7 linked regions of the Oryzias latipes genome follow. The protein of the gene in region 3 binds, or shares a complex with, the protein of the main gene of each other region. Links are inferred from orthologs where the notes say so. Each region holds a gene or a part of one and is shown on either strand. Other genes may lie near its edges. The genes, in order: gpkow, srrm1, plrg1, cwc22, cwc15, bcas2 and ppil2.

What was found.
Region 1: plrg1 (region 3) and gpkow share a complex: the UniProt entries of both Homo sapiens proteins name them as parts of the minor spliceosome. The link is inferred for Oryzias latipes from reciprocal best matches to the Homo sapiens genes PLRG1 and GPKOW.
Region 2: plrg1 (region 3) and srrm1 share a complex: the UniProt entries of both Homo sapiens proteins name them as parts of the minor spliceosome. The link is inferred for Oryzias latipes from reciprocal best matches to the Homo sapiens genes PLRG1 and SRRM1.
Region 4: plrg1 (region 3) and cwc22 share a complex: the UniProt entries of both Homo sapiens proteins name them as parts of the minor spliceosome. The link is inferred for Oryzias latipes from reciprocal best matches to the Homo sapiens genes PLRG1 and CWC22.
Region 5: plrg1 (region 3) and cwc15 share a complex: the UniProt entries of both Homo sapiens proteins name them as parts of the PRP19-CDC5L splicing complex. The link is inferred for Oryzias latipes from reciprocal best matches to the Homo sapiens genes PLRG1 and CWC15.
Region 6: plrg1 (region 3) and bcas2 share a complex: the UniProt entries of both Homo sapiens proteins name them as parts of the PRP19-CDC5L splicing complex. The link is inferred for Oryzias latipes from reciprocal best matches to the Homo sapiens genes PLRG1 and BCAS2.
Region 7: plrg1 (region 3) and ppil2 share a complex: the UniProt entries of both Homo sapiens proteins name them as parts of the minor spliceosome. The link is inferred for Oryzias latipes from reciprocal best matches to the Homo sapiens genes PLRG1 and PPIL2.

Annotation. Positions count from the first base shown.
Region 1 is NC_019865.2:21,307,923-21,312,063, forward strand, and holds the start of gpkow (G-patch domain and KOW motifs-containing protein), read left to right. Parts: upstream 1-1,341; 5' UTR 1,342-1,370; coding exon 1,371-1,564; intron 1,565-1,744; coding exon 1,745-1,914; intron 1,915-3,478; coding exon 3,479-3,624; intron 3,625-4,141. UniProt on the Homo sapiens protein: RNA-binding protein involved in pre-mRNA splicing. As a component of the minor spliceosome, involved in the splicing of U12-type introns in pre-mRNAs.
Region 2 is NC_019880.2:16,885,006-16,888,936, reverse strand, and holds the end of srrm1 (serine/arginine repetitive matrix protein 1), read right to left. Parts: intron 2,986-3,931; coding exon 2,899-2,985; intron 2,816-2,898; coding exon 2,680-2,815; intron 2,588-2,679; coding exon 2,501-2,587; intron 2,399-2,500; coding exon 1,919-2,398; intron 1,837-1,918; coding exon 1,644-1,836; intron 1,537-1,643; coding exon 1,357-1,536; intron 1,253-1,356; coding exon 1,142-1,252; 3' UTR 501-1,141; downstream 1-500. Other genes in the region: clic4 (chloride intracellular channel protein 4), read right to left, coding at 1-2. UniProt on the Homo sapiens protein: Part of pre- and post-splicing multiprotein mRNP complexes. As a component of the minor spliceosome, involved in the splicing of U12-type introns in pre-mRNAs. Involved in numerous pre-mRNA processing events.
Region 3 is NC_019859.2:20,800,946-20,805,183, forward strand, and holds the start of plrg1 (pleiotropic regulator 1), read left to right. Parts: upstream 1-1,438; 5' UTR 1,439-1,587; coding exon 1,588-1,596; intron 1,597-1,778; coding exon 1,779-1,885; intron 1,886-2,184; coding exon 2,185-2,321; intron 2,322-2,416; coding exon 2,417-2,470; intron 2,471-2,557; coding exon 2,558-2,651; intron 2,652-2,746; coding exon 2,747-2,828; intron 2,829-2,912; coding exon 2,913-3,011; intron 3,012-3,117; coding exon 3,118-3,210; intron 3,211-3,400; coding exon 3,401-3,550; intron 3,551-3,698; coding exon 3,699-3,800; intron 3,801-4,238. UniProt on the Homo sapiens protein: Involved in pre-mRNA splicing as component of the spliceosome. Component of the PRP19-CDC5L complex that forms an integral part of the spliceosome and is required for activating pre-mRNA splicing.
Region 4 is NC_019879.2:6,690,272-6,693,475, reverse strand, and holds the end of cwc22 (pre-mRNA-splicing factor CWC22 homolog), read left to right. Parts: intron 1-692; coding exon 693-794; intron 795-902; coding exon 903-1,075; intron 1,076-1,910; coding exon 1,911-2,317; 3' UTR 2,318-2,704; downstream 2,705-3,204. UniProt on the Homo sapiens protein: Required for pre-mRNA splicing as component of the spliceosome. As a component of the minor spliceosome, involved in the splicing of U12-type introns in pre-mRNAs. Promotes exon-junction complex (EJC) assembly.
Region 5 is NC_019872.2:16,000,765-16,004,711, reverse strand, and holds the start of cwc15 (spliceosome-associated protein CWC15 homolog), read left to right. Parts: upstream 1-1,147; 5' UTR 1,148-1,247; intron 1,248-1,603; exon of another isoform or gene 1,604-1,606; 5' UTR 1,607-1,613; coding exon 1,614-1,744; intron 1,745-2,547; coding exon 2,548-2,660; intron 2,661-2,768; coding exon 2,769-2,869; intron 2,870-3,730; coding exon 3,731-3,841; intron 3,842-3,947. UniProt on the Homo sapiens protein: Involved in pre-mRNA splicing as component of the spliceosome. Component of the PRP19-CDC5L complex that forms an integral part of the spliceosome and is required for activating pre-mRNA splicing.
Region 6 is NC_019865.2:942,938-946,645, forward strand, and holds bcas2 (pre-mRNA-splicing factor SPF27), read right to left. Parts: upstream 2,413-3,708; 5' UTR 2,309-2,412; coding exon 2,216-2,308; intron 1,820-2,215; coding exon 1,727-1,819; intron 1,638-1,726; coding exon 1,567-1,637; intron 1,466-1,566; coding exon 1,304-1,465; intron 1,226-1,303; coding exon 1,175-1,225; intron 1,095-1,174; coding exon 1,014-1,094; intron 941-1,013; coding exon 814-940; 3' UTR 501-813; downstream 1-500. UniProt on the Homo sapiens protein: Required for pre-mRNA splicing as component of the activated spliceosome. Component of the PRP19-CDC5L complex that forms an integral part of the spliceosome and is required for activating pre-mRNA splicing.
Region 7 is NC_019867.2:622,324-625,823, reverse strand, and holds part of ppil2 (peptidyl-prolyl cis-trans isomerase-like 2), read right to left. Parts: intron 3,220-3,500; coding exon 3,144-3,219; intron 2,568-3,143; coding exon 2,461-2,567; intron 2,187-2,460; coding exon 2,097-2,186; intron 1,029-2,096; coding exon 995-1,028; intron 367-994; coding exon 249-366; intron 128-248; coding exon 71-127; intron 1-70. UniProt on the Homo sapiens protein: Has a ubiquitin-protein ligase activity acting as an E3 ubiquitin protein ligase or as an ubiquitin-ubiquitin ligase promoting elongation of ubiquitin chains on substrates.

The sequences.
Region 1 (4,141 bases), on a different chromosome or scaffold from region 3:
AAAATTGCATTGATTAGAGTGAGTGAAGGTGTCGGAGAGTGGAGGCAGGCGAGATCAAGCCGAAAATATACCAAGGTTGACGCCTCACTGTCGTTAAATGCGATCTTGTTCTGAAAGAACAATCCACATGTCTCATGTTTGAAGGTTATCTCGAGAAGTTCCAGAACACAAAGGGGAGGGCAGGAAAGAAAAGAGTTCAAGTACCGCCCCCTAAAACAGTCTGTGCACTACCTGGATCTGTGGTATCACCTTTCGCTGTAAAGTCTCACTTAAGGCAGGAACAGGAAGGCAGACATAATGTGAAGGCATGTTTAAACCAGATCATCTATCTATTCAGTCCAAACAGACTGATAACAAACTCGTACTATTTTCGTTCTAAACTACAGAAAAGCAATGGGAGAAAGATGTTACATTTTAAAATTAAGTTTTAAAAATCAAGTTTAATTTCTGATTAAATTTAGTTTTGGTGTGGCCTTTTTCTCATGATGGTGGACATATATAAAGAAATAGCACTTCTGAATATACAGTCAAATCGTTGTGAATCAAATACTGATGGGAAAATATTTGTTCGAACATGAATGTCTGTTTTCCCTGTCTGAGCTGGCATCTGGCTCAAAACTGTACAGTTCGATATCTCCAATACTGGTCACCATTTTTGTTGCACCTCTATTGTTAGGTTGGGGTTGTGAGGGGCTGTAAGCGGGAGAGAGTGTAAACAAAAGGATGATGGGAAATGAAATGAGGACAGGCTAACCCTGCTCCAACATTCCCATCTACAAGTCACAAGTCATAGGCGAATTTCTGATTAAATACTGCAGCTCTGCAGAACCTATAGCCTAGAAAACGACACAGATTTTTTTAAAATTCCCCAAAATGGCATCACCATAAATAAAAGATCACTGGGAATGCGTTTACAATAGATCAAAAGATGATTGGAGTTGGGACTTTAGATTATAAAATGAATCAATCAAACTGGTTAGATTGATCAAACATTGTTTACTAGTTTGTGTTCAAGGGGTCAGAAATGAGTGTCAAACAACTTGATCTAAAGGTCTAGATTACTTTTTTAACTTTCTTTTTTTAATTTAAGCATCTAAAACACAAGCAAAATATGCTGAATGTTTTTGTATTAGTAAAATGTTTTTACTCTTTATGGTTTTTTGTATGTAATATCATTTATTAAATCACTTTTACATTAGTTTAATTGATTTTTGTCATTACTTTAAACAGCTAAATATAAGCTATGTAACTTTACGCTTTGATGCTTGATGGGCAATGTAGTCAGAAAAACAAAAGAAACGCTTGAGGGCGATGACCAACACTACAACTCCCACAATACACCGCTTCAGCGTGGATCTTCAAAAGCAGTCATGGCGGCTCAGGGAGAAGGAACAGCGGCTTTTAAATCTGTCCCATTTGAGGACAAGGGCCAGAAGAAAACATCGATGGTGTCATTTGGGTTCACAAAAACAGTTAACAAATTTAAAACCCCCAGCGCGGAGGAGTCGAAGAAGAAAGAAGAAAAAGATTACTTGACCGGGATTCACGAAAAGGAATTACAAAGGTAAGCTAATGCTAATAACGCCTAGCATCAACGTAGCATTTGCGTTTCCGAATCTATGAGTAAAATGTCTTTAATTTAACATATACGCTCTGTGTTTGTTTCTTCTTTATTTAAACAGGAGAGCGCGTGTTTTTAAGTTGTGCTGTCTTCTGGTTATTTTCATTTTTTTGTGTCCTTCAGCTCAAAACAAACGGAGAAACCCAAAGAGCTCATCATCCCTCTGATCCAAAAGAACCGCTGGCACAAGCCCGACCGAGCGGGCCAGAACACGGAAGATGACGGTAAAGCTCAAGAAAAAGGCCAAGACAGCGACTCTGTGGAGTCCCAGGCTGTCAAAGAACTTATTGAAGGTAATCATTAAAGCTTTAAATGTCATCCCTTTATTTAGTTCCTATCATGGAGATGTTTACTCTAAATGTTTCTATAAAGCTCTTCTAGGAAAGTGAAAGGTCTAATTTAGGGTAAAGGATGTTCTTAGCATAATAAATTGACAGATGCGTCTATTACTTAATCTTAATGGATCAAAATGTAGATGATGTGTTATTTTTTTTACAAAGTTCACCATGGTTTTATGATGCCCTGGACCCACCTCTGTTGCCATAGAAACCTGAGGTATCATCCTCTACAGACAGGCACACACTGGTCATATCACGTGATTGGACCAGTCTGCTTTGTTTTTATTCCCAGTATGACATCCCGAGCCCCAAGTATTTCTTGTGTTCTCATCCTCAGAAACTGTATCTGTTGTTTTCTGAATACAGTAAATGACGACGGAGTTTTAGGGCCACCAAAAAAAAAAAAAAAATTAAAATTACGACATTTTATCTCGTAAATTTACGAGAAAAAGTCATAGATTAACAAGGAGAAGACACCGAAGTTGTCCGTTTATCGGATCATCGCTTGAAGATGAAAGATGTGGAGCCTTTTGTGAAGCTTTATTTTCGGATTATTATAGGTTTAAAACAAAGATTCTGAACCTTTGGCGACTCAAAATCAGATTATTGTCAGTAAAGGCGGCTTTCCGAGGTTCAGTGTCAGCGGAGTTTCATATGTAAAATAAGGACCTAATACTCCGTCGTAGTGAATAAATCCTCCTTTTAAAAACAAAAAACAAAAAAAAAAGGTTTGTTTAACTGACCTAAAATTATCAGACATTCCATCCATTCATTCTCTAAACCTACTGAATCCCCCTCGGGGGATAGGGTTGCTGGAGCCTGTCCCAGCTACTGATGGGTGACAGCAGTGTACACCCTGGACAGGTCGCCAGTTCGTCACAGGGCCACACACTCACTCTTAAGGGATCTTTTAAGTGGACTGCTGGAGGAAGCCGGAGAAAACCTACTCCGGTACAAGGAAAACATGCAAACTCCACCCGGGATTTGAACCAGAGCCTTGTCGCTGTGAGCCAAGGGTGCTAATTAATGCCTACATTCTCAGGCTAAATCAAATCTTGTATACTCAATTGAAGCCTCTTTTTCTTTCTAATATAGGGCATTATAAGGATCCTATAGTGACAACATTTTCAAAGGCAATTTTTCAGATAAAAGACTTCAGTGTCACATTTCTAGATGTGTACTAATTACTTACAAATGAGTAAATGACTAAAGAATTCTTAAAATGTTTGCATCAAAAGTTAATTTACTTTGTTGTTCAATAAAACCAAAAAAAAAAGACAAATTTCTTCCTCAAATACCTGAAAAAACTCACTGAATAAAGGATATATTTGTGCTTAAAATCTTTAACGAATGTGGGGACCTTTTGTTGATCACTTTTGTTGCCTTTAACCTCTCCAAGTTTACAGTTGAAAGGTCCTGGTTTAATGTCAAAGCTGCACCTACTTATTTGCAGTGCTTCTATATCTAAACTTTAATTAATAAAGAAATATAAAGACTCATCAGCTCTCTCATGTCTCAGATTCCCGGAGGCAGCTGGAGCAGTGGCAGAATGGGTCTGAATCAGAAAAAAACCTGAACCTTTCCATCCCTCTGTTGATGCAAAACAAAGTGCCAGAGGGCTTCGAGGATGGAGACCTAATAAATGTGGGGCTACGTCCTGAATCCGTAAGTGTATTTCATGACCTTTTGTGTGTTTTCCATAAAGGAATCATTAATTCTTTGACCGCATTTCCATCGTATGAATGATTAAACAAGTCCTTCGACTAGAACAAAGATTTAAATTGCCCACTATAAGTTAAGGAATGCATATTAAACTGGATGAACAACCTAAAAGCTTGAAGTCCTAGTCCGATCATATTTTGATCTATTGTAAAAGCTTTCCCACGTGATGATGCAGTTTTTGAAAAACCTGTAGTTTTCCAGGACATAGCTTATGCAGAGCAGCAGGAGTTAATTCAGAATTTGCGTCCGAGTTGTAGTCGGGACCAATGGCACAGAGCAACCCCGCCCCCCCTTCCTTTCCCCATAACTGAGGGGATGAAGCGGGGAGCTTGTGGCCCTGCCAGCATATTTTTTCATCTGCTCCTGATTCACAACGATTTGAATAAAGAAATACTCAGAGATGTCATTTTGAACCTTATTTTCTCAATATATGCCCTCCTTCATGTGAAAAATGTCACAA
Region 2 (3,931 bases), on a different chromosome or scaffold from region 3:
ATTGTATATGCTACTTTGAAGTTTGTAGGGTGGGAAGAAAAAAACTATTCCGTTTTCTTGCCACCACGCCCGACTAAACACTTCTTTTCTCCAGCAAACTCCTCCTTTCCCCCCGAGTCTCTGGTTTATCTCCCGGTGCGGTGAACACGGCGGAGCGGACGAGGAAGCTCCCGGCTTCTCAGGTGAACGGTTCAACGTTTCTCTACCCGCAGGCTAGCTAAGCTACAAAACCATCGTGGAGGCGCGAGGATGAGTGATGACGTTGGGAAGAAGAAACGGGAATATAAGACCGTGATGTCATCAGCGGCGCGAGGAAACTCATAGAAATGTGGGCGGTACCCCTGAAGGAGTTCTGGAAAACTGGAAAGGAACCCAATTTCAAAGCTGGCAGATTTTCTTTAAATTCTTCCATTATTTGCATTTAGCTTTGTAGTAAAGTTAGTTGACATACGTCTTGAAAAGTTCAGCGGGAAAATGTGTAAACCAAATAAAACGTTTATAAAAGAAAAGTTTTAATTCTTAAAGTATGACAAGAGCTAAAGATAATACAAATACTAAAGAAGCCCCACACTGATTAGCTCAGTACATCAAACAAAAATGCATACCTATTAATTTAGAAAAACTTAAAACATCTCTCAATTTAAATGGTTTTAATTTTTGAAACAAAGTAAGTTCAAAGTCAGAAAGCAAGTTCAGTGATGCCAAAGACCTTGTTGTATCATGTCACTGTTTTTATCACAAAAAAATAAAAATAAAAAAAATAAAAGGAGCAACAGTGGATTACTGTATGGTGGCTTTCCCTCTACACTTATAAGGTTGGTGGTCCATGCACAAAGACGATCACTGCACATGCAATTATTCCTCTACTGTACACAGATGAAGGTATCAACCCGCTCAACTGAAAGTTAACTTTTTTTTGTTGTTTAACCATTAGAAAGTAAGCTTAGACAGTTTAGATAATACACTGATGAATTCAAATCTCCAACACTCCAGAATGTATCAAACCAGTAAAAAGGAAACAAGACTAAAGATAAACAATTTGTACATTCTAAAGCCGAACCACTTTGATGAAAAATGGAAACAAAGAACAAAACAAACAAAATTGTCAAAAGTGATTGAAAACTCCAGAAGCGTGTTGCTTTCAAGACATCTGTGATGGAGATGTTTGGGCCTTCCTCATGGAGCGCAGCGCCTTTTCCCGGAGGTGCTTCTCCAAGTCGTCCAAACCGTCGTCCACCTCGCTCTCAGACTCCTGAACAGAGTAAATATACCCATTAAGCATCGAGTTAACCACAAGGGCAATCAACACACATTTTACAGCCACTACTTTACAGAAAATACTGCGTTTGCTTTTACCTTTCTTGAATCTTTTGAATCGTCCTCCTCTGGTCTGGGGTTTTCTTGGCTTTCTTCAGTCACAGTGACCGAGCTTTTTTCCTTCTTGTGCTTTTTGTGTTTCTTATGCTTCTTGTCTTTTTTGTGCTTCTTTTCCTTCTTCTTCTTCTTTTTCTTTCCGCTGCCATCACCATCAGAGATCTGCAATAAAAAAAAGCATTTGGCTTAAAGAAACCAGACATGACCACAGATAGTAAATGTGAATAGACGGTACAGATTTCTCATCGCATTTGTCGGTGGGGTCTAACCTTGCTTGGAGACTGACTAGCAGAACGACTGCTGGCTTTTTTAGCTGGAGGTGGCGGAGGAGAGTGACTGGCAGAGCGAGAAGGCGATGGAGAAACAGACGCGGGGGCCAGACGTTTCTGTGCTGGTGGTTGAGGAGAAACTGATCTGGACCGAGAAGACACCCGCCTCACGGGTTTAGGGCTTAGAGAGGATCTGTGAAAATACAGCTGGCATCAGGAGAAAATCTCAAGATAAACAAGGAAATCATTGAGATGAAGCACATCTGTTTCCTTACCTCTGGGTGTTACGGCGCTCAGGAGTGCGAGATACCCTGCGAATGAGCTTACTACTATGGGATGGGGACTGTTGTCTCCTCTGAGTAGATGGAGATGCACTAGAGCCTTCAAAGCGTCTGTGGGGGCTGGTGGACCTCCTTAGAGGATGACTGCGGTTAACCGGTGATCGAGAAAAGCGCCTGCCTGCTGCAACGGGAGATCGCGTATCCCTGTTGGACCTCACAGGCATCACGGGACTCCTCCTGTGTCTAGGCGGAGATGAAGAGGAGGGAGGTGAGCGCCTCCTAGAAACAGGGGAGCTTCTGCGCTTTGGGGACCTGGAGGGACGCCGCTTTGGACCTGGCGACATGCGTTTCATCGGCGAATTGGACATCTTTCTTTTTTGAGGAGGCAAAGGTGAAGGGCTGTACCGACGCTGGATAGGAGGCGAGTATCGCCTAGAGGACAAAGACCTACGTCTGGGTGGAGGAGAGGGAGACCTAAGAAAGCCACAATCAGAGATTTAATACAATTTTTCTTTTTACATTTACAACAAGCACCAAAATTATAACTAAAAATAAGTTAGTAGAAGTTTCTTATACCTGCGTCTAGGGGGAGAGGGAGATCTGCGGCGTCGAGGGGGTGAAGGGGTGCGGCGTCTGCGCCCAGGAGAGGGAGAACGTCGTCTTCTATACAAGTAAAAATAATGAAGATGAGAAAAACACTCAACACTTCATGACAGAAAGCGTCAAAAATATGCAAACACAGCCAGGTGTGTGACCTTGGTGAGGCCTCCTTGAAGCGTCTACGGGGTGAAGGGCTGCGGCTAAGCCTTTTCTTCACTTCACCATTTCTGGCACCTGGCCCTGCTGCTGACTTATTAGGCCCCTCATCCTCTGAGGAGGACGTTCCACTATCTGAAAAAGCACAAGACAGCATTTGTATTTAATTAGTTTAAAATGTATTTACAGGGTGGATAATATAAAAAAAAAAGGGGAACCTGAGGAAGATTGTTGATTCTGTCTTCGATACTGACGCCGCTGCTGCACGGAGTCTGCTGCTCCCCCTTTATCATTCTTTTCCTCATCTGAAACGCAAATGAACGTTTTCATCAGTATGGAAACTCAAAAAGGACAATACAAGGTATTTGCACCGCTTTTGACAGCATGAGACTAAGCTCTGCTGATGCGTTTTACTGTTTTGCTATTTGTGTTGTATTATTAAGGCACTTTTTATAATGTTTGACTTTTTATTGTTTTAACATTTTATTTGTTTGTTTTTATGTTTTGAGCTTTAAATTAGGGCTGGGCAATTTACTGATGTAATCAATTAATTTGAATTTGTTTTAGACAATTTATTTTTGGGAAGAAGATAAAAGAAAATCAAGAATTTATCTTCTCAGCTCTCTGCTGTCTCGGACTTTCATTGATGGAAGTAAAGTCAGTCAGATATGAAAACATTAGCAAGCAAAAACACGCCCTAACTTCTGCTAGTTGCCTCCGTGTTACCTTCAGTTTAAGCTGATGAAGCAGCAGAATATGTGAGGATGTTTTACAGGATCCAGAAAAAAAACTGGAGGATAAACTTGCTTGATTTACAGCAGCAACAGAAAGTTTAATACAAAGTGTTGATGTGGAAACAGCGGTGTCGTTACACACTGATGCTGTGATGCTAAATCCTAACAAGCTGTTCCTTGTGTCACCTACATGTGACCGGTTTAAAGTCAGACTATTTCTCCACTGAACGGACTTTAAGATGTGGTGGATAAATGGAACCAAATTAATTCATAGAACATTTATAAAAACTGTATTATATAATTATAAAAACAGGCACTTTGTATGGAACTTTATTAGAAGTGCCTTTGTAAGATTACAGAGTCGGTGTTGAGCTGAAAAAGTAACAACCACATAGTTTTGGTTGTTGGAGTGTATAAAAACTATTTTATTATTCCTAAATGTTTTTCCAGGTAAACAAAGTTCAACTCAGTTAATCTGTAAACTCCACTAGTAAAGAATTCCAATCTACATTTATGC
Region 3 (4,238 bases):
GTTTTTTTTTATTCTTTGAAAAGTCATCAGTTCTTTAAGTCCTTAAGGCTAAATTCAGGCTTAAACTTTTTTAAATTTTTGAGATCAAGCTGCAGGGAAAACAGGGGCCAGTCAGTGGAAGAGTTATGCCAACGAATATTCAGTTTGACACCAAAAAGAGTCAAATCAAGAGGCCCTATGAACACAGAACGCTTAAAGTTCCACTCTGATCGTCTTTTGATCTATTAGAAAAGCGTTCCCTGTGCTTTTTAATTGTGCCACTTTTTGGCACAAATTGAAAAACGTATCGTTTTCTAAGACATAGTTTCTGCAGTGCAACAGTAAGTCATTAGAAAATCACCTCTGAGTTGTGGGCAGGACTGTTGGTGTGGAGCAATCCTGCCCCCCTTCCCCAAAGCACAGAGCAGGAAGCTTCTGACCCACCTAGGGTATTTTCTGCATATCAAATGCAACCTTTTTCAAACAGTATTTTTTTATCTGCTCCTGATTTACATTTGAATAAAGAAATACTCCGAAATGCAATTTGCAGCTAAATTTTCTTTATAAATGTCCTCCATCATGAGAAAAATGGCTGAAGAACATGTTAAAAACACAGAAAACACAATTTTCAGGTCTTTGATGAAAATCAACTGTGCTGTGAACCACTGAAATCAAAGGCAGGAGGTAGAAAATGAAATTACAAGCATAGATAAGGACAGCAAGAACTGAAGAAAAACCTGAAAATGTATCTTCAGAGCACTAATAATACATTGACAACCAAGAAATAACTGGAATCCAATTATATAAGATTAGATGATTGTACTATTTTCAGGCTGCTTTGGTTGTTGCAGGAATTTATCCAAATCAAATTTTCCTTTGAAATATTTACTGTAAATTATTTCATCTCTTAATAAATGAGTTCATTGCTTTTTTTGTGAAACCTTTTTATTAAAACAATATTTAATAAATAATAAAATTGGTTTAAAAGGGAAATTTAACAGCAAAAGATTAATAAACTAAAACAAATCAAACCAACTTGTGGATAAAATCAACAATTGTGAACTTCTAAATAGAGCAGACTCAGTAGTGTCCAGCCTACATGTATGAGAGGCTGGAAGAATGGTCATTAGCAAAGGGGAATAAGTAATTCCCAGACACTAGTTCTTTTTCACATCAAAAACAAAATGTTTTATTTTTTATTATTATTTTTTTATATGAACCCTTAATTTATTTCTGCACCAAATGTGTAAACGGCACAGAACTGTTTAAATTTGCCTTTTTACTGAATAATTAAAAAAAATGTTGAAACCCCCTAAAATATGTATATGTATTTCAAAACGTCCCGGAGAAATTGCGAAAAATGGGGGCTTGATAATAGAAAAACATAATCTCCGCCACTGTGAGACGCTGGGATGAGACGTACCGCCAGAGGGCGCTCATAAAATAAATCTTTTAGCCTTTCAGGCTGTTGTACTTCCGGGTCATGCAGACTCGTTTGTCGCGGCGGTGGACTGTTTTTGTCGCTTTGCTACACCTACGGTGTTCGTGGATTATATTCACCGAAAACTACTTAACTGCAGTGTGATATCAATCTTTATTATCGCCACAATGACCGAGGTGAGACTTTATTTGAGTTATTTGATTTTCTTTGGTCCACGCTTTAGACTCACACAGCACTGGACCCGTCTAACTACTGGATGTTAACGTTCTGAATCTTCACACGTTGTAGTGTATCCCCCCTGATAAATCACATGGACTCGTCTTTCAAGTAAACTTTTTTTTCCTTCTAATTGTTACAGGAAGTCCAGAAACACTCAGTCCACACTTTGGTCTTCAGATCCTTGAAAAGGACTCATGACATGTTCGTGGCTGACCATGCTAAAGCCGTCGCTTTAGATGATGAAAGGTATACTGAGCTTTTACATTTATGACTTCTGTATTTAAAATGTGTATCATCACTTTAGTTAAAACTCACGGTCATGCTAATCGTGCGTTCATAATATGTTTATTAGTTTATTATGCAATAGTTCACATCAAAAGGGTTACTTTAACCTTTTAGGCATGCATTGGGAGAAAATATATTTTTTCATGTTTTGATTATAAACATCTTTGGCACTTGGAGATGGTTTGTCTATATGTTTCCACTTCACGTGGGCACACGGGTGGGTTTGCGTTGAAGCTCCTCTTTTTTTTTTTCGTTTTAAGCCACAAGTTGAAGTTGGCCGTGAAGCTAAAGGCAGACTACAGTCCTGTGTTACACATGCCAGTGCTAAAAGAAGGAAAGGACAGGATGTCACAGTATCCAGACGGTCTCCACGACAACGAAGCTTACATGCAGCCGGGTGAGTGGGAAGCATCACCGTTCAGTGTTTTTGGTTTTAAATTGTAAAAATCTGACTTTTTTTTCTTGTTTGTCTTTGGTTTCCGACAACTTCAGCAGATGATCCTGAATATCTGATCACGGGAACGCACGCTTATCCCTCTGGACCTGGTAAATACTTTCCTTTTAGCCAAGCTTAAAGGAACTTTATTCATTTTTTTAGCCAGCTTTTTATTATCTATGTCTTTAACCCAACAGGAGTCGCCCTGACAGCTGACACAAAAGTGCACAGAAACCCCAGTGAGTCAGGAATCCACTCCTTGGCTCTGGCTTTACCACCATCACAAGCAAGGTAATCCTGTTCAGTCAATCAATACAAATAGTACTGAATCAACTTTTCGGGATTCATTGATATATCTATTTTTTGTCTTCTGATGGCTGTTTTAGACAAGAGTCCAGCCGCACTGCAGCCACAGTTGCAGAGATCCGTCGTGGAGCAGAAAGAGCTCACGCTCAGTCCACCGCTCTGGTACATCACAAGCTTCTTAAGCGCTTTTTTTTCTCACCCAGTCTTGGTTGACAAAATTCTAACGCAACAATCTGTTCGTTGCAGCTGCTCTTGGAAGGAGGCGGCACCAGAAATTCCAACCTCTTGAGGAGAACGCCGGTCATGCCCAAACCGCAGTGGCATCCTCCCTGGAAACTCTTTAGAGTAACTGCAAATTATCCTTGAACTCCTTTTCAGTTGTGTCAAATCCGGTGACGGAGGGGAAGCAACATCTCACGTGATTACTAAAAAGGTTTTTGTCACCTGACAGGTCATCAGCGGCCACCTGGGCTGGGTCAGGTCCATCGCTGTGGAGCCTGGAAATCAGTGGTTTGTGACAGGATCTGCAGATAGAACAATAAAGGTTATCTCTTCTCTATTTTTTATTTTATTTATACAATACGTTGTTCTGATTGTTTTTATACTGTTTTTACACTACAAAGCTTTTTTTCTTCTCCTTTTTGCATTTGTTGAGGTGGAACAGCAAAAAAAAAAAGAACCAGGAGTGTTTTGTTACAGGGAAAGGATATCATGAGACTTGCTTTTTCCTTCAGATCTGGGACCTGGCCAGTGGGAAGCTGAAACTGTCTCTGACTGGACACATCAGTACAGTGCGTGGAGTGGCGGTGAGCAGCCGCAGTCCGTACCTTTTCTCCTGCGGAGAGGATAAGCAAGTCAAATGCTGGGATCTAGAGTACAACAAGGTACAAGCTTCTCTTCACAATATCTCTAAAAAAAAACATTTTAGGGCTGTTTGAATATAAACAAAGACAAAAAGTTCAGTCATTTCTTTCTTTTTCTTCATACGTCAGAGTTTTGGTGTTTTAGTGACATGAGTATTTTGTGTTTTAGGTAATCCGGCACTATCATGGCCACCTCAGTGCTGTGTATGATTTGGACCTTCATCCAACTATTGATGTCTTGATGACGTGCAGCAGAGATGCCACAGCGAGGGTAAGATCGGAATCCACTCATTACTCTTTATATATGTCACACATGGAAGAAAAATCCTACATGACAGACAAGAAGTGACAAAGCTCAGATCTTTAAATAAATAAATACAGATGTATTAAAAATAATCCTGCTCAAATGTCTAGAGCTGCAGAAAAAAATTGTTTTTGTTTTATCATAGGAACCATAGTTGGGGTTTTTGGAGAAAGCAAAACACTTTTGAGTTCTTTTGTGTATGAACAAATGTAAACGCCCCTGTAAACAAAAGTTCAATTTAAGGACACTGATCCAAAAAAGAAAAACATTCCTCGTTTATCCAAAATACACCATGAGGGTCTGAAATCGTGGCAAAAACAAGGAAGTCAGACTATAATTGTTAGAATTAGGAATTCTACAATTAGTCCCTGGAAAGGAAATTTCTTTTTTTTAATGCCAATATTT
Region 4 (3,204 bases), on a different chromosome or scaffold from region 3:
AACAAATAGTCCACGTAGCGCTGCACTATTGCTGCAGTCAAGATTCGGCGATATATGCATATATATATATATGCTGATCTTTCCGATGGGTTGAATAAAGAATCAGTTCAGAGAGAAAGTTCTCCTCTTACCGCTTGTTTTTGTCCAATCGATGAAGCAAAAGGTTGTTTTAAAGAAGCCGGCGCAGTGATACGAAACATTTAAGCTATGTGACTGGAACTTCTTCTTTCAGCGTGCGGTCATCCTGTGGTATATCACTTTTTAATGCACACCCAGCAGCCAATCAGAATCGAGTATTCACCCAGACCATGGCATAAATTCAAATAATACACAGAAGCTCATCAATGTTTGAATCTTTCAGTAATTTTTTTTTAAACTAAACCTGACAGAAGTACCCCTCCCCTATAATTACATTAACAAAATATCAATAAAATCCCTACAAACCAATTAACTTTACGCAATAATAGACAGTTTTATTAATCTCATAAAGAAATACTATGTCAATTTATTTATATTTACCAACGTAAGAAGATTTTTAAGCTATTTTAAAGTGTTAAACTGTAGATCTGTAAAACTAATTTCTGGTATATGTGATTTGCTGCTTTTTCCTGTATTGTGTACTGTATTGACAGTATCGCATCTAAAGAAGCAGAAAATAAACCATTAAAACCTTGTTGCACTTCTCCCTTTAGGACTTTGCAGCCGTTCTTTGAAGGTCTTTTTCCTCGTGATAATCCCAGAAACACTCGCTTTGCCATCAACTTCTTCACCTCCATCGGTCTGGGAGGACTGACGTGAGTTGCAGAGACTCCACACACACTCATCAGACTAACTTTTGTTTTCCCTCTAACTGTTTAGCTGCAGAATGAGCGACTTTAACACCAACGTTTTCTCTCTGTCAGAGATGAGTTGAGGGAACATTTGAAGAATGCTCCAAAGATGATCATGACCCAGAACCAGGAAGTTGAGTCCTCTGACTCCTCATCTTCCTCGTCGTCCTCCTCAGATTCCTCCTCAGAATCTTCTAGCGAATCTGATTCTTCATCAGACTCCTCCTCCTCCTCCAGCAGCTCAGGTACATCAAGCCACAGAGAAGCTTCTGTTTTTCTCTTTACTGCAGTTGTACTGGTGAAACTAGCAGCTCCTTATATACTCTGATTATATAATTTTTTTTAAATAATATTTAAGGAGTTGAACTACAGCTGCGGTCCTTCTTTGATGCAGAAGCACCGACTTTAGCCCAGACTATGACTAGAACACATATAAATCTTAAAGAATTTAAGACTTAGAACATAGTTTTTCAGTAGCTACAGAACCTGGAATCCACCATTAATTCTCAAAACAAGATTTTAAGAATAAATGGAATGTTCTTGCAAAAATGAAAGGAGAAAAGTCAGATCATGTCTAAACTTTGGCTTATATTCAATTGGATTTTTGTCAGCTGGAACAAATCAGAGGAGCTAATGTGGAAAGAAATCTGTTTTTAAGATAAAGCAACAAATTAAGGTGACAAATTGTTGTTAACTTCTAGTTGCCTAAATATATTTTTTGCTTAAAAAAAAGTCACTGTTGGCTTTCATGTAGATGCTAAATTAAGGTAAGTTTGGGGGCGTCTGGGTTTGTTGCAAATTTGGATCAAAAGGTTCATAATTAACTCACGAAATCACCAAGAATCTTCTAGAGTTTCCTGTGATTTCTACAAACGAATTATTTTTAATAGTACAGAGAAGTGGCAAAAGAGAAGTCTCTGTTTTTTTCTGTTTAGCTTGTTTTTTTCTTTTCCTGATTGGCTGTTGACCTTGTCAATCAATCTCTCCCATCCCATAGCTTCACTATAAAATCAGGCCCTAACGTTTTAACTTGTGAATAAACACTTTTCACACCATTTTTTCCCCCGTGTTGTCTTCCAGACTCAGACAGCAAACACAAAAAGAGAAAAGGACGCAGAGAAGAGAAGAAAAAGACTGAAAAGAGCAAGAAGAAGGAGAAACCTGACAAGAGGAAACACAGAAGCAAGCGGGGCAACGATGAAGACGACGATGACGACGAGAAGGCAGCGAGGAAGGACCAGAGGAAGCACGCACCAGATTTGCCCGAGCGCGCCCACGAGGACTCCCGACGGCGTAGGCGGGACGAAGGATCAGAGGAGGAGGAGGACAGAAGACGAAAAATGGACAGAGCAAGAGATGGAGAGAGAAACATGGAGAGGGAAAGAGGGAGGGATAGAGGGAGGGAGAGAGAGGTTGAGGAGAAGAGGGAGAGGGAGAGGAATAAAGAAAACCGAGACAGAAACAGAGATGACCGCAGGAGGAGATAAAACTCCACACCTGCAGCAGGGAGGGATGACCTCCTTCAACCCACCGCTACCGCTCTGCTGCTGTCGATCCGGGACCCGCCGCTTATTTTCCTCTTTTATTTTCTCTATGAAATGAGATCTAAACTGTTTTAGAAGTTTCTTTGTAAATTGTGAGTTTTCCAGTCTTTTTGGCTCATTTGTAAAGAGTTTAGTTTTCTTGCAGGAGATCTGTTTTTGGTATGGAGCTTTTAAAGGAACAGTTCGTCCTTTTTCTGCTGTAAAAACTGTCAAAGTGGCGCCAGTTTCATTGAAACCGTAAAGTGGCAAATATTGTTAATTCTTTATTACAAAAAAAATTAAGTTCTTTAAAACTTTTGCAAATAAAAAAACGTATCATTGATGAACAAAGTCTGTGTGTACTTTTATTTTCTTAGTTGGAGCCTGACTTTTTGACCTGCATGAAGCTCTCTGGGAATGAACTTTGCATCCTTCCAACTGAAATTTCCTGACATTTCTTTTGCTAAGATGTCATTTTTTTACTACCCAAAAGAGTCTGAAATGAATTGAATATTTGAGAACGCACGAAATGATCAAGAACTATAAAGTGAAAGAGAGAAGGACCACCATAAATGTTTTCTCTCCATTGCATGTCACCTTGATGAAATGTTGATTTCTGATCTACTTGGAAAGAAGAGTTTTAATTTAAGGATGGCCTAAAAATCTAACAAGATTCTCTACAAAACCCCTCCAAGATTTTACCTATATTTGATTTCATGAATCTTCTTTCACCGAATAGGGGCTCTAAGTAAAGGTTTTTTTGCAGAATTTTACAATTATCAAGCTTAAAATGTTTCTCTTGTTGTTAGATCTAATTGTGCAGATCTCCACCAACAACTTAACATTTCTTC
Region 5 (3,947 bases), on a different chromosome or scaffold from region 3:
GTAAAATGTCTGCAAACAGGTGCAGAATTCTAATTGAAAGGCACAGAAAACAAAATATGAAGTTTAAGTTACCAATACTTTGTCCAGTCATTTCACTAGTTAATTATTGTACAAAAATTCCAGAGTTATGCCTGATTTTCATTAAATTATTTATAAATTGATTAATACTTTTGTCATTTCTCAGACATTTCTTAAAACATTGGAGGGGAGGGACAAGTTTGGTGCAATCCAAATATTGTTCAGTATTAAGGGGAAAAGGGGCAAATCATGTTCTCTCTTCTCCCTTTCATTTAAGAGTGTATTTTTGAGCCTAAGAGGTGTTTTAGATTTGTATTTTCACAATTATGTATTGATATATCTTTGGAAAAGAATAAAATAAACTCATCAAACTTAAACAGCAAACACTGAACAAATATAAACCAGTGTTTCTGTAGTTGAAGTTAAAGCCAAAGGCAGCAAAGAGTCCAACGGCACAAATCCAGAGAAACATCCTTTTAAAGAGGAAGGCATATTATCTGAGAAGAACATCTCAAAACCTAAGGATGAAGACTCATCAGGTCTAAAATGGAAAAAGACAGGAATTTTACATCTGTTACAAGTGTTTCAATTATGTTTAATAGAATCTACGTATCAAGACTGTTAAATAAAGTTAAAAATAATGTGTTCAATTTGGAATAAACTATATTTAAAAATCATGTTGTGATGTTAATGTTCACTTTGAGTGGAGAAATTAAGCTACAGGAAGACACTGAACCTGATGCACATTGCCCCATGGTGGCCACGTAAAATGTTTTGCAAACCCTAATCGCACATTTCTACAGTAATTCTACCGGTTACTTCAAAAGAAGAGACAAGATGACTCCTCGTAAACACTTCCTTGTTTACACCAGTGCTCAAAGGTTTTATATGTTTTTCATTTTAAATGTGAGTGTTGGTTTGCTGAAATCAGTAATAGACATTTTTGGCTGTAATGCTTTAGAATTCAACCATGTACCCTGGAATATCACCACAGCATTTTGAAAAAGAAAGGTGTAACAAAGCATTTTTGTGCTAATTCTTTCTCCTTTGGTACAATATAGTAATTTCTTTACGATAAATATCAGATTACATTTGAAATGAGTAATGCATTTTCCAATTCTTTTTAAACGCACCAACAGAATCGTATTCTTGACGCATGCGCAACAGCAATTTCAATCCGGAAGTGACGTTCTATGGTATCCTCTTTCCGCTAGCCGTGTAGTGGAATCGTGAGTATTTTTTCCAAGTCAAAGACGTTTTTTTACAGATGTTTTTTTGTTAAAACGGTATAAATATGATAAATGTAGCCATACATCTCGTTTGATTAGTGTGCAGTGAATCTTAAAACAAATAAGTTTTCTAAAGAGCCCAAAATGAGTTTTTTGTCTTGTCTGAGTGTTAGCATAATCAAATTTGGTGGCTAGTAATACCCTTTATAAGTATTAAAGTCTGTTTAATCGATAAATGTATGTATATGTTTTGTTATATACAACTGATGTTACCTTGTTTGTTCTGCGTTTAAAGTACAGTAGCTAACTGAAAATAACTGTACTCATGTTTGACAAATACCGTGTTGTTGTTGAAGCAGGTTAGGGATGACTACCGCAGCAAGACCAACGTTTGAGCCGGCGAGAGGAGGGAGAGGAAAAGGAGAAGGCGATCTGAGTGCCTTGTCCAAGCAATATTCCAGCCGAGATCTTCCAGGTCACACCAAGATCAAATACAGGTGGTTTTTAGTTCCTATTAAACTCTGCTGCGACAGCTCAGTTGAAAAAGAAAGCGATTGTTTGAAAGAAACATATTTAATCATGTTAAGATTCTCGAAGATTCAATCTGAATTATTTGGGAAATGGTCAAACCGGATTGATTAAATTAGTCTTTTTGTGCTATAATTATTAAAAAGTGGAACATAAATCTACACTTGATTAAATGTCTACATGTATAATGTGTTGGGTACAATTAAGCTAACCTCACGTTGGAGCATCACATGAATCAGTTTATGACATGGGGGGGGGGGGGGGCATGTGTGCATTTTCTTGTCTATTTAGTGTCTCTCCATGACCCTTAAGAAAATGTTAAATAATTTGCTCACAAATATCTTGCATCTAATAAGTCATTGCTCAGTATTAAAATGGTTATCAACTAAATTGTATAACCATAAAGCTTTTGTACATTTGGAGTACATCATTTAGTATTGATAATTCTTGATGGTTTGTTTGCTGCAGGTTATGTTTAAATTGTAGCTACAGTGTGTAGGAGGGGTGGTTTGCATTTACCAATTGTGCAAGTTCTACAAAAAATATTTTTACAATTTTCGCTATATATTTTTTTTTAATATGCATTCAATCTCTCACAGTTGTAGTGTATATGATGGAATCATAGACCTCTCATCTTTTTAAATTAGACAATTTGCTAAATATGTTACTGAGAAATACTTTTTCCCCCAACTGTACATGTTACTATTTATCTCATGAGTGGTTTTTGGAGTTTGTAGTGGGACTTAGTCTTGAAAATGCTATGATCCCTTAGACAGCCCACTCAGGATGCCCCCGAGGAGGTGCGTGCCCGTGATTTCCGTAGGGAACTGGAGGAGAAGGAGCGTGTAGCAGCACGTGAGAAGACCAGAGAGAGGGGACCAAGAGGTTAGTCTCTATCAAAATTTTAGACTTACTGTTTTTGACACACAAGTATAAACCAAGCAAAGTATGTATTTTTCTGTAAATGCAGTCTTTACATTTTTTTCTCTCCAGAACACACTACATCCTCTTCATCATCTTCATCATCATCAAAGAGGCCCAGGTTGGATCAGATTCCAGCTGCTAACCTTGATGCTGATGACCCTCTCACTGATGTAAGTGTCTGCACTGATATAATAAAGAAAACATTTCATCAGTACACCTACGGCTGGGAGATGAGACCTTTTCTCGCTGTTGCACTTGACATGATCTGAATAGATATTGATATTTTAGTGCTATAAAACTTTCTCTTTAAAGACTGTAAATATTAAAATTAGCAATAAAATGCCTGGATTGACTTAATTGGGGAAAAATCACTGTAAAGTTGACTTTTAACAAACAATTTCTTTTGTACAACTTCTCTGCTTTGGACACATTAAACTTGAAACATCCCAGATGGTTCATTTGTGGTTAATTTTAGCTGATCAGACCACCTAAAAGAACAATTGTGGGTAAACTTAAAACTTAGTTTTTTCATTCAAGAAAAAAAATGTACACAAAATTTAAAAAGTGTGGCAAACAAACTTGATTTAAATATGACCGTTGTTCCTCCTCTGGAAAAATTGAGCAGACTGGGGCTCTCCAAATGCCAGGCTGGTGTATTTAAAGGCTAAACTCCCTGCATTGCCTCTTATGGTCGGTCCCACAGTACAGCTCCTGAAGCTGAACCTCATCCACATCTACAGCTACCAGCAACACATCCAGCACTGGTACCTCCAACAAGGTGGCATTAGTTAAACTGATAACTGTAGCTGACTTAAAAGTGTCCAAGTGTGCACACTACAAATAAAGACTGATGTACTCTCTTGTAAATGTCTTTTATTGAGAATACGTCTGAAAATGTCAACTTATTTAAAAGTCATTAAACAGTGGAAAAGAACGTCAGCAGTGCATGGGGGCTGTCACCATTCTGCCATAGTTGTGCTGCATGAGGCCATTGCAGCCTTAATCCTCTCTAAAATCCTTCCTCTTCACAGGATGACGAGGATGAGAACTCTGATGAAGATAGTGATGATGACGACACTGCAGCTCTGTTGGCTGAGCTTGAGAAGATAAAGAAGGAGCGAGCCGAAGAGCAAGAACGCAAAGTAAAACATTTGATCCATTTTGTTTTGGTACCTCTGTGTTTACAGTCAGCAGCATGACTTTGTTCAAACACAATGTTTTAATAATCAAGGAAAAATATGATTCTTG
Region 6 (3,708 bases), on a different chromosome or scaffold from region 3:
CTGTCAGTTGGGGCCTTGAGCTTGATGTGTATATATATATATATATATATATACACTAATTAATTTCAGGATAAAAGCACCTCCATTGCAGCTTTACTTCCATTGTGAGTTAATGTTTTGTGAGTTTTTGGGTTGTGAGTTAATGTGTTGTGTGGTAAGTTAATGTGTTGTGAGTTAATGTGTTGTGACCTTTCTGTGCCACTGACCAACAACAAAGATGAAGACTCATCCAGGAAGTCATGGAAGACGCTGAGACTTTTGAAAATGGATCAGCACAAAATGCTGCAGATTTCTGAGATCAAAGTTCAGTGGATGTACAGAAGACAGGGGATCTGACACAAAACCGCCTCACTCTAGGCCTCAGACTTTAGGTTTCACTGTTCTTCAAGAGGGATGAATGACAAACCATCCAGCTGCTCCCATCTGTTAGCTTCCAGCTCATCAGCTGCAGCTCTGAAGCTCAGAGACTTACAGGTAAAAGACTGAAAAAAATAACAATGTGTATGAAACGTTCATTTTATTAAAACGATAAAAAACAAAAGTTGAATCAAAAACAGGATTTTTTTTCTCCACCACAACTTAGAAACTGTACAACAAGCTACAAAGACATCGATCATGTCGATCGATCATGAGTTTCAAACCATGATTTGTGTGTAACTGAACACAAAAGACCCAACGGTTCCATCAGAGGAAACCGACGCCTTTCAAACATCATCCGTCTTGGAGTCGAGTGACCCGCTACGCTCCAGCAGTCATCGAGTCGTCCAAACCAACCGAATCAGATCCATCCAACGGATCCCGGTGAGGTGACTCCTAAAAGTCCTGTCGGATGTTCTCCTTGTTCTCCTCCCCTTGCTGCTGCCTCAGCTGAGCCACCTCGTTCTCCAGCTGGACGATGGCGCGCTCGATCTCATAGTTTTTACTGACCAGCGACACCCAGCTGGCGGGAATCAGAACCAGAGTCAGACATCACCCCTCATCCACGAGAACACCAGAACTTAAGAAGAACCTACTTGGACTCCAGCTCTCGCAGCTTGGCGCCTGCAGCCAACTGATCGTTTTTGCGCTGCCAGTTCAGGTCCTGGATCTTCTTCCTGCCGGCATAAGTTCAGAAATGTGTAACCATGGTAACCGTTGGATCTTTTCAGGCATGTATGATCCAATCCTCAATCACCTGAACTTGTGGAGTTCCTTTTGAGCCAGCTCAATCAGGAAGGCCAGATTGCTGAAAAGGGACAACATTAGCTTTGAGTCTTCAGAAGAGTCAGACACCAAAGGGTGAGACCCACAGGCCGCCACTCACTCGTTGTAGACCTTCCACGCGTTTGTTCCATAATGCGACATGAGCTCCAGGTTCTCGATCCGGATGGCCTGGTGCTCCAGCTGGGCCATGGAGTTATTGACACACTCCTGCCAGGCGGTAATGTCGTTCTTCTGTCCCGATGTGGGGGCTGGAAGCTCATACCTCCACAGCAGAATAGAATCGTTCTATGGAATCACCCTAAACTTTCTCTTTCTTTTACATTTACAGAAATATTGTACAGACAGACAGAGTGTGTTTTTTACCTCTTCATGCTGAGGAGGTCCATTGGTTGTCGAGCGGCTAATCGCTCAAACTCATTCCTCATGATTTCTGTCTGAAACCCAAAACAAAACGGGAAAGGATTATAAACCGGTTAGCCAACCCAGACTAGGAATCAAGTTTCAAATGTCTGCAGGTTTTCACCTCAAACGGCGAGAACTCCGGCATGGGCAGGTAGCTCAGGTAGTTCTTAGTTGGGCGATACCTTCTGGTCTCTTCTTCCACCAACGCAGCGGCCTGAAGGGCCAAGTACAAATGATTTCTCTCCATTTTTCATACAAACATGATTTAAAAATGAGCCACAACCCCTGATGATCTAACATGTCAACTTAGTGTCACCAAACCCTGGTTCTCCAGATCTGCCGGCTGTTTCAAACCCCTCAGCTGTTGTTTTACCCGATGAGGTAAACAGCAGCTTTGGCTTTGAAGGTTTTCATCCTAAATTATGAACTTGTATAGTTTCAAAGCAGAAACCTATAATGACAAGATCTAAAGAAATATACAGGCGATCATAATAATAATGGTTTGGCCAACTATACATTGAACGGCGCGTTACCATGCGGCATCGCTAGCTAACAGTTCTAACTAGCTATAAGTTAGCTAGCTTTTAAAGCAGCATTCTTGTTTACCCACCGCTTCTCTGACACCTGGTGCGTCATAACCTTGATCAAAATACGGCAACGCATCAACAAACACTTCGCCAGCGACCGAGGCCGTTCCAGCCATGTTCGCTCCCCAGTAAAAAAAAATAAAAATAAAGAAAGAAAGTCCTTTTCTGCTAACAGACTCCAAACGGCTAATCAGAAACTTCCGTTTCCGGTCAAAACTTTCCGAAATAAAAGTCTCAACGGTGTTGTATTAATCGTGATTGTCGCCTCTTGCGTTGAGGAATGGAACTGCAGCTTAGTAGATAGATAGACAACTTTATTTATCCATTTGGGAGGTTCCCGCATGGAAATTGACATCTCCATCGCATACAGCACTGGTTGACATACATATAGGAAAAAGGAAAAAGCAGCACAGTGACTAGAAAAATGAGGAAGATTAGAACAGTAAAAAACAATTTAAATATCTGCAAACAGTATATACAAAAAAAAAAAAGTGATTCAGGCCCTTTCCCTTTCCTTTCTGTCCCCCTCCCCCCTCCTAAGTGGTTTGATGGCCCGGGGGTGGTAAAGAGTTTGATGGCCCGGGGGACAAAGGAGTTCCTCAGTCTATTAGTCCCGCACCTTGGGAGGAGCAGCCTCTTGCTGAAGGTGCTTCTCTGGCTACCGATAGTCATGTGCAGAGGGTGGCTGGTATTGTCCAGGATACCTGTCAGTTTTTTCAGTGTCCTTCTCTCTGCCACAGTAGCCAGACGGTCCAGCCTTGTGCCAACCACAGAACCAGCCCGCCTGATCAGCTTCTCCAGCCTGGAGAAGTCTGTCTTTGAGGTGCTCCCCCCCCAGCACACCACAGCGTAGGTTATTACACTGGCGACCACAGACTGATAGAAGATCCCCAGGAGCTTCTTGCAGATGTGTAGTGTAACAAACTTCAGGTTTCAGCTATTACTGCACTACAGTAAACCTTTAAAGAGTTTCATATTAAATTTCAACAAATAAATGCTTTTTTTATCTTTCTTTTGTTGTTGTTCTAAAAAAATATATAAATAGCTTTTTCTTCTGATACAAATGTGATCAATCTTGTAAAAATACTTCATCATCACTTCAATATTTTTTTTTAAATAATGTATATAAAATTATAAGTTTACGTTGAAGGCATTTCATCTTAACAATACAGAAATAATAACCAAGAGTAAATAGCCAAGAAAGGGGAAGTACTGGTATGTGTATGCATTATAGTATGTAGGGCCGCACAATATGAGGAAAACTCGCTATATGCGATATTAGTGATCAATATTGCGATGAAGATATAACTTGCAAAAAATGAACAAATAGCAAAAACAACAAAAACATTTCCATTTCCCTTCAAATGTTTAGTATAAATAAGAGTCAAAATACCTTAAATTTATCTTCCAAATGACCCTCGTCTAATTAGTAGGGCAACATCTAACGTAAGAGCTCCATCCGATTGGTCAACAACGTAAAGGGCTATATCTGATTGGTCAAATGCATAAAGGGATT
Region 7 (3,500 bases), on a different chromosome or scaffold from region 3:
TGCAGAGAAGACGACCAATCAGAGCAGCCCCAAAGCTGGATCTGTGGGAGATCAGCCTCTGGAAAGGTACCTTCCAAATATGGTGTGCTTCCTGTCCAGGTGGGGGCAGGACCGGAATGTGATGAAGCTGAGGAGGAGGAGGAGACGTTGAAGAAGATCTGCTCCAGGCTGCAGCCCAGAGAACATGAAGAACATAGATTCAGTTTCGTGTTTGGGTTTCCTCGGTTCCAGGGACCAAGGTTCCTTACAACTGAGACTTGTTGGTGTTCGGACCCGAGTTGGCCATGCTGAGGACCCCCCGGCCCGCGTGGGACAGGTTGGGCCGGAACTCGTCCTTGAAGGGTTTTCCCCAGAAGGATTCGCCACCTGAGCAGAACCGAACCCACAGAGACTTCAGAACCAAACCTGCCCTAAAGGAAGAGATCCAGCAGCCGTGTGCACGGACCACACAGGGTTCCAGCTAAGAAACATTATGGGATGTCCAGCTGGAGATGGAGCTTCCCTCTCTTTGTGGAGAGTTTTGTGCGTTTCTGCGGCAGCAACAGTCTCAGGTTTGGATCAATGAGGATCTTCATCTGATCCCAAATGCATTTTATACTAAAGACAACAGAAATACGTTTCCGTCTCATTAGAGACGAGCCTCCAGGAGAAGAGGAACGCTGGTCCTAGAACCCGCCGCCGCCGTTCAAAGAGACCAAGATGGGTGTCATGTGGTCGGGTCTCACACATATAGCGACAAACATGTGGCAGTCGTCGGCATAAGGTGGAAGTTCACCTTATGAAACAGCATTCCCAGTGGCAGCAAGTAGATAGAAGATAATGGGCCCGGTCCCCCCCCCACAGACAGACAGACTGCCCCCACCCCAAGTGCCCCTCGGTATCTTTGGCAGCCCTGAGTGCCTCTCTCAGGTCCCCACAGGTTCAGCATCTCTAAAGAGGACCTTCAGTCATTCAGAGCCGCTCCGCCACTGAAAGCGGTCCAAGCTCCGCCTACCTGTGCCGGTGCCGGTCGGGTCTCCTCCCTGGATCTGGAAAGAGAAAGGGTCAGCTTTAGAAGATGGAGATGCTGTGTTCCATCACCCGTTCTCTGGATGTGTGCAGAGCTCCTGCTCCACGTGGAGACGTTCAGGTCTGAGTGCAGAAAGGTTGACGGGTGGATCGTAGTGAAGGAGGAGCAGAGTCCATGTTCCTCCCCTCACCTACAGACTCTGGGTCGGACCAGGAGGAGATCCTGGATGCAAACGTCTGGAAGGGGGGAGGCAGTGGCTGCTCCTTAGAGGGAGGGTGAGGAGCTCAGCAAAGAGCCGCTGCTCAGGGAAACTCCCCCAGGAAGGAGACCCAGAGGAACCGTGTTCCTCAGCTTGCCTGGACTTTGGGGTTCCCTGACTGATCTGGAGAAAGGCTCTGGATGGAGGACTGGAGACCAGCGGTTAGCCTGCTGCCCCCCGACTCCTCATGAGGAGGAGGAGGACGGAGGGAGCTTGGAAAAGGAGCTGGACTTGATTTGGATCTGAACGGGTTTGGGTTGACGTTTCCTCTTTAATCAAAGTACCCAAATATGTGAATATCTATTGCAGCTTTTGATCAGCAGACGCTCCAAATATTCAAACCTTTGGGACCCGGCCTGTTCAGCAGAAGCAGACCTCCCCTCTAGGGCTGCACGATATGAGGAAAACTCGTGATATGCGATATTGGTGATTAAAATCGCGATAACGATATAATTTGCGGTATATAAACAAATAGCCAAACAACCAAAAACATCATTTCCATTTCACTGCAACAGTATAAAAATTATACTCCAAATGACCCTTGTCGACATAGGAGGCAAACATCAAACATAAAAGTGCTCATCTGATTGATCAAAAACGTAAACGGGTCCTTCTGATTGGTTAAATGCATAAAGGGATTACTTGCATTTGTTCACCATTTCAGGCTGCCATGAGTTTGTTTTTGCAAATTTGAGGTAACCATTTATTGCGATTTTTGCCGTCTTTTGCGGTATGCATGTTGCACAGCTTGATGTTGCGATGACGATAAATTTGCGGTATATTGTGCAGGCCTTCTCCCCTCATTTGCTAAAAGCGTCTCTTCCTCACCATGAAATTCCGGATGGACCTGTGAAAGGCGGTCCCGTCGTAGTAACCCTTTTTGCACAGACGGATGAAATTCTCTCCAGCTTTGGGAACCTGGTTTGGGGGGGGGGGGGGGGGGGGAGACAAACACTGACGGTCAGACACGAACACATTCCAGGTCTGATGCTGCACCACTTCCATCCTACACTCCCAAAAACCAGCCGAACGCTCCACGTCGTCATGACGACGGTATTTAAAAGAAAGGAAACTGTGTTTCTTGTTTTATGGTTCTGATGTTTTTAGTACCAACAGAGAAAAAAGATCAAATAAAAAACGACTACGGCATCAATAAAGGCTGCATGGGTTTAAACGCAGCGTCTGACGTCACCTTATCGCAGTGCAGCTCCAGGTTCAGGTCTCCCAGGTTGGTGTGCAGGCGGACGTAGCCTTTCTTCTTCACGTACTGGTACCGCACAGCATCATCGGCGATGGCGTCTGCCACAAAGACAACGGTAAAAAAACGAACACCTGAAACGTGCAGACAACAGCGACCGCTGCACACATGGGCCGCTCCAAAGGCCTCAGACATATTGGGGTTCAGTCGTTCCTCTCTGAGCAGATTGGGTTCAGACAGTGGAAACGCAGGGCGAACTGGATCTCAGTCCGATTGGAAATAACCGAGACCACCTCAAACGATGGGTCCCAGTGGACCCTGATCCTTCTGGATCAGGGTCCACTTTGGTGTATTCAGACTAGTTCTGGTTTACTTTACGTGAACCAAGTGCGTCCAGTCTGAATCCAGCCTTAGAGGAGCGTCAGGACTGGACCAGCCGGTTCTGCTTCAGAGAGAAATCCAGTGGACCCAAAAAACATTGCCTTATTAGAATTCATAGAAAGTCTAATGTACCGCCTCAGGATACAATGACATAAACAATAATAATAGCTTTTATTCCCTTTCATTTATCTTTTTAAAGTCAGTGAACACGGCTGCATCCCAGCAGAAGCAGCAGACAAAACCAGGTCAGCGGCTGACGTGCAGAGGAGAACCCACAGGAACAGATCCTAGCTTACCGGCTTCATGGATGGTTGAAGGAGTCATGGCTGTGGAGGTGAAGGAGGCGGAGACTCGGCCTGTTGAGTAGTGGGCCTGGACGGGGACACAGGCAAATGTGTCATGTTTACTTTCTGCATGGACTCAATGATTTCTAAACCAATAGACATGCTGTTCTCTCAAAGTACAGACGGAAAAATGCAGAAAAACAAAGAAGGAGAAGCTCACATCAAAACCCATCTGCTGTAAACAGATTTAGAACCTGTCAAAGACCGGCTTCCATCACAACAAAGAACAAACAGGCAAACAACAAACAAACTAACAACCACCAAACAACAAGCTAACAGGCAAACTACAAACAACCAAACAACAAGCTA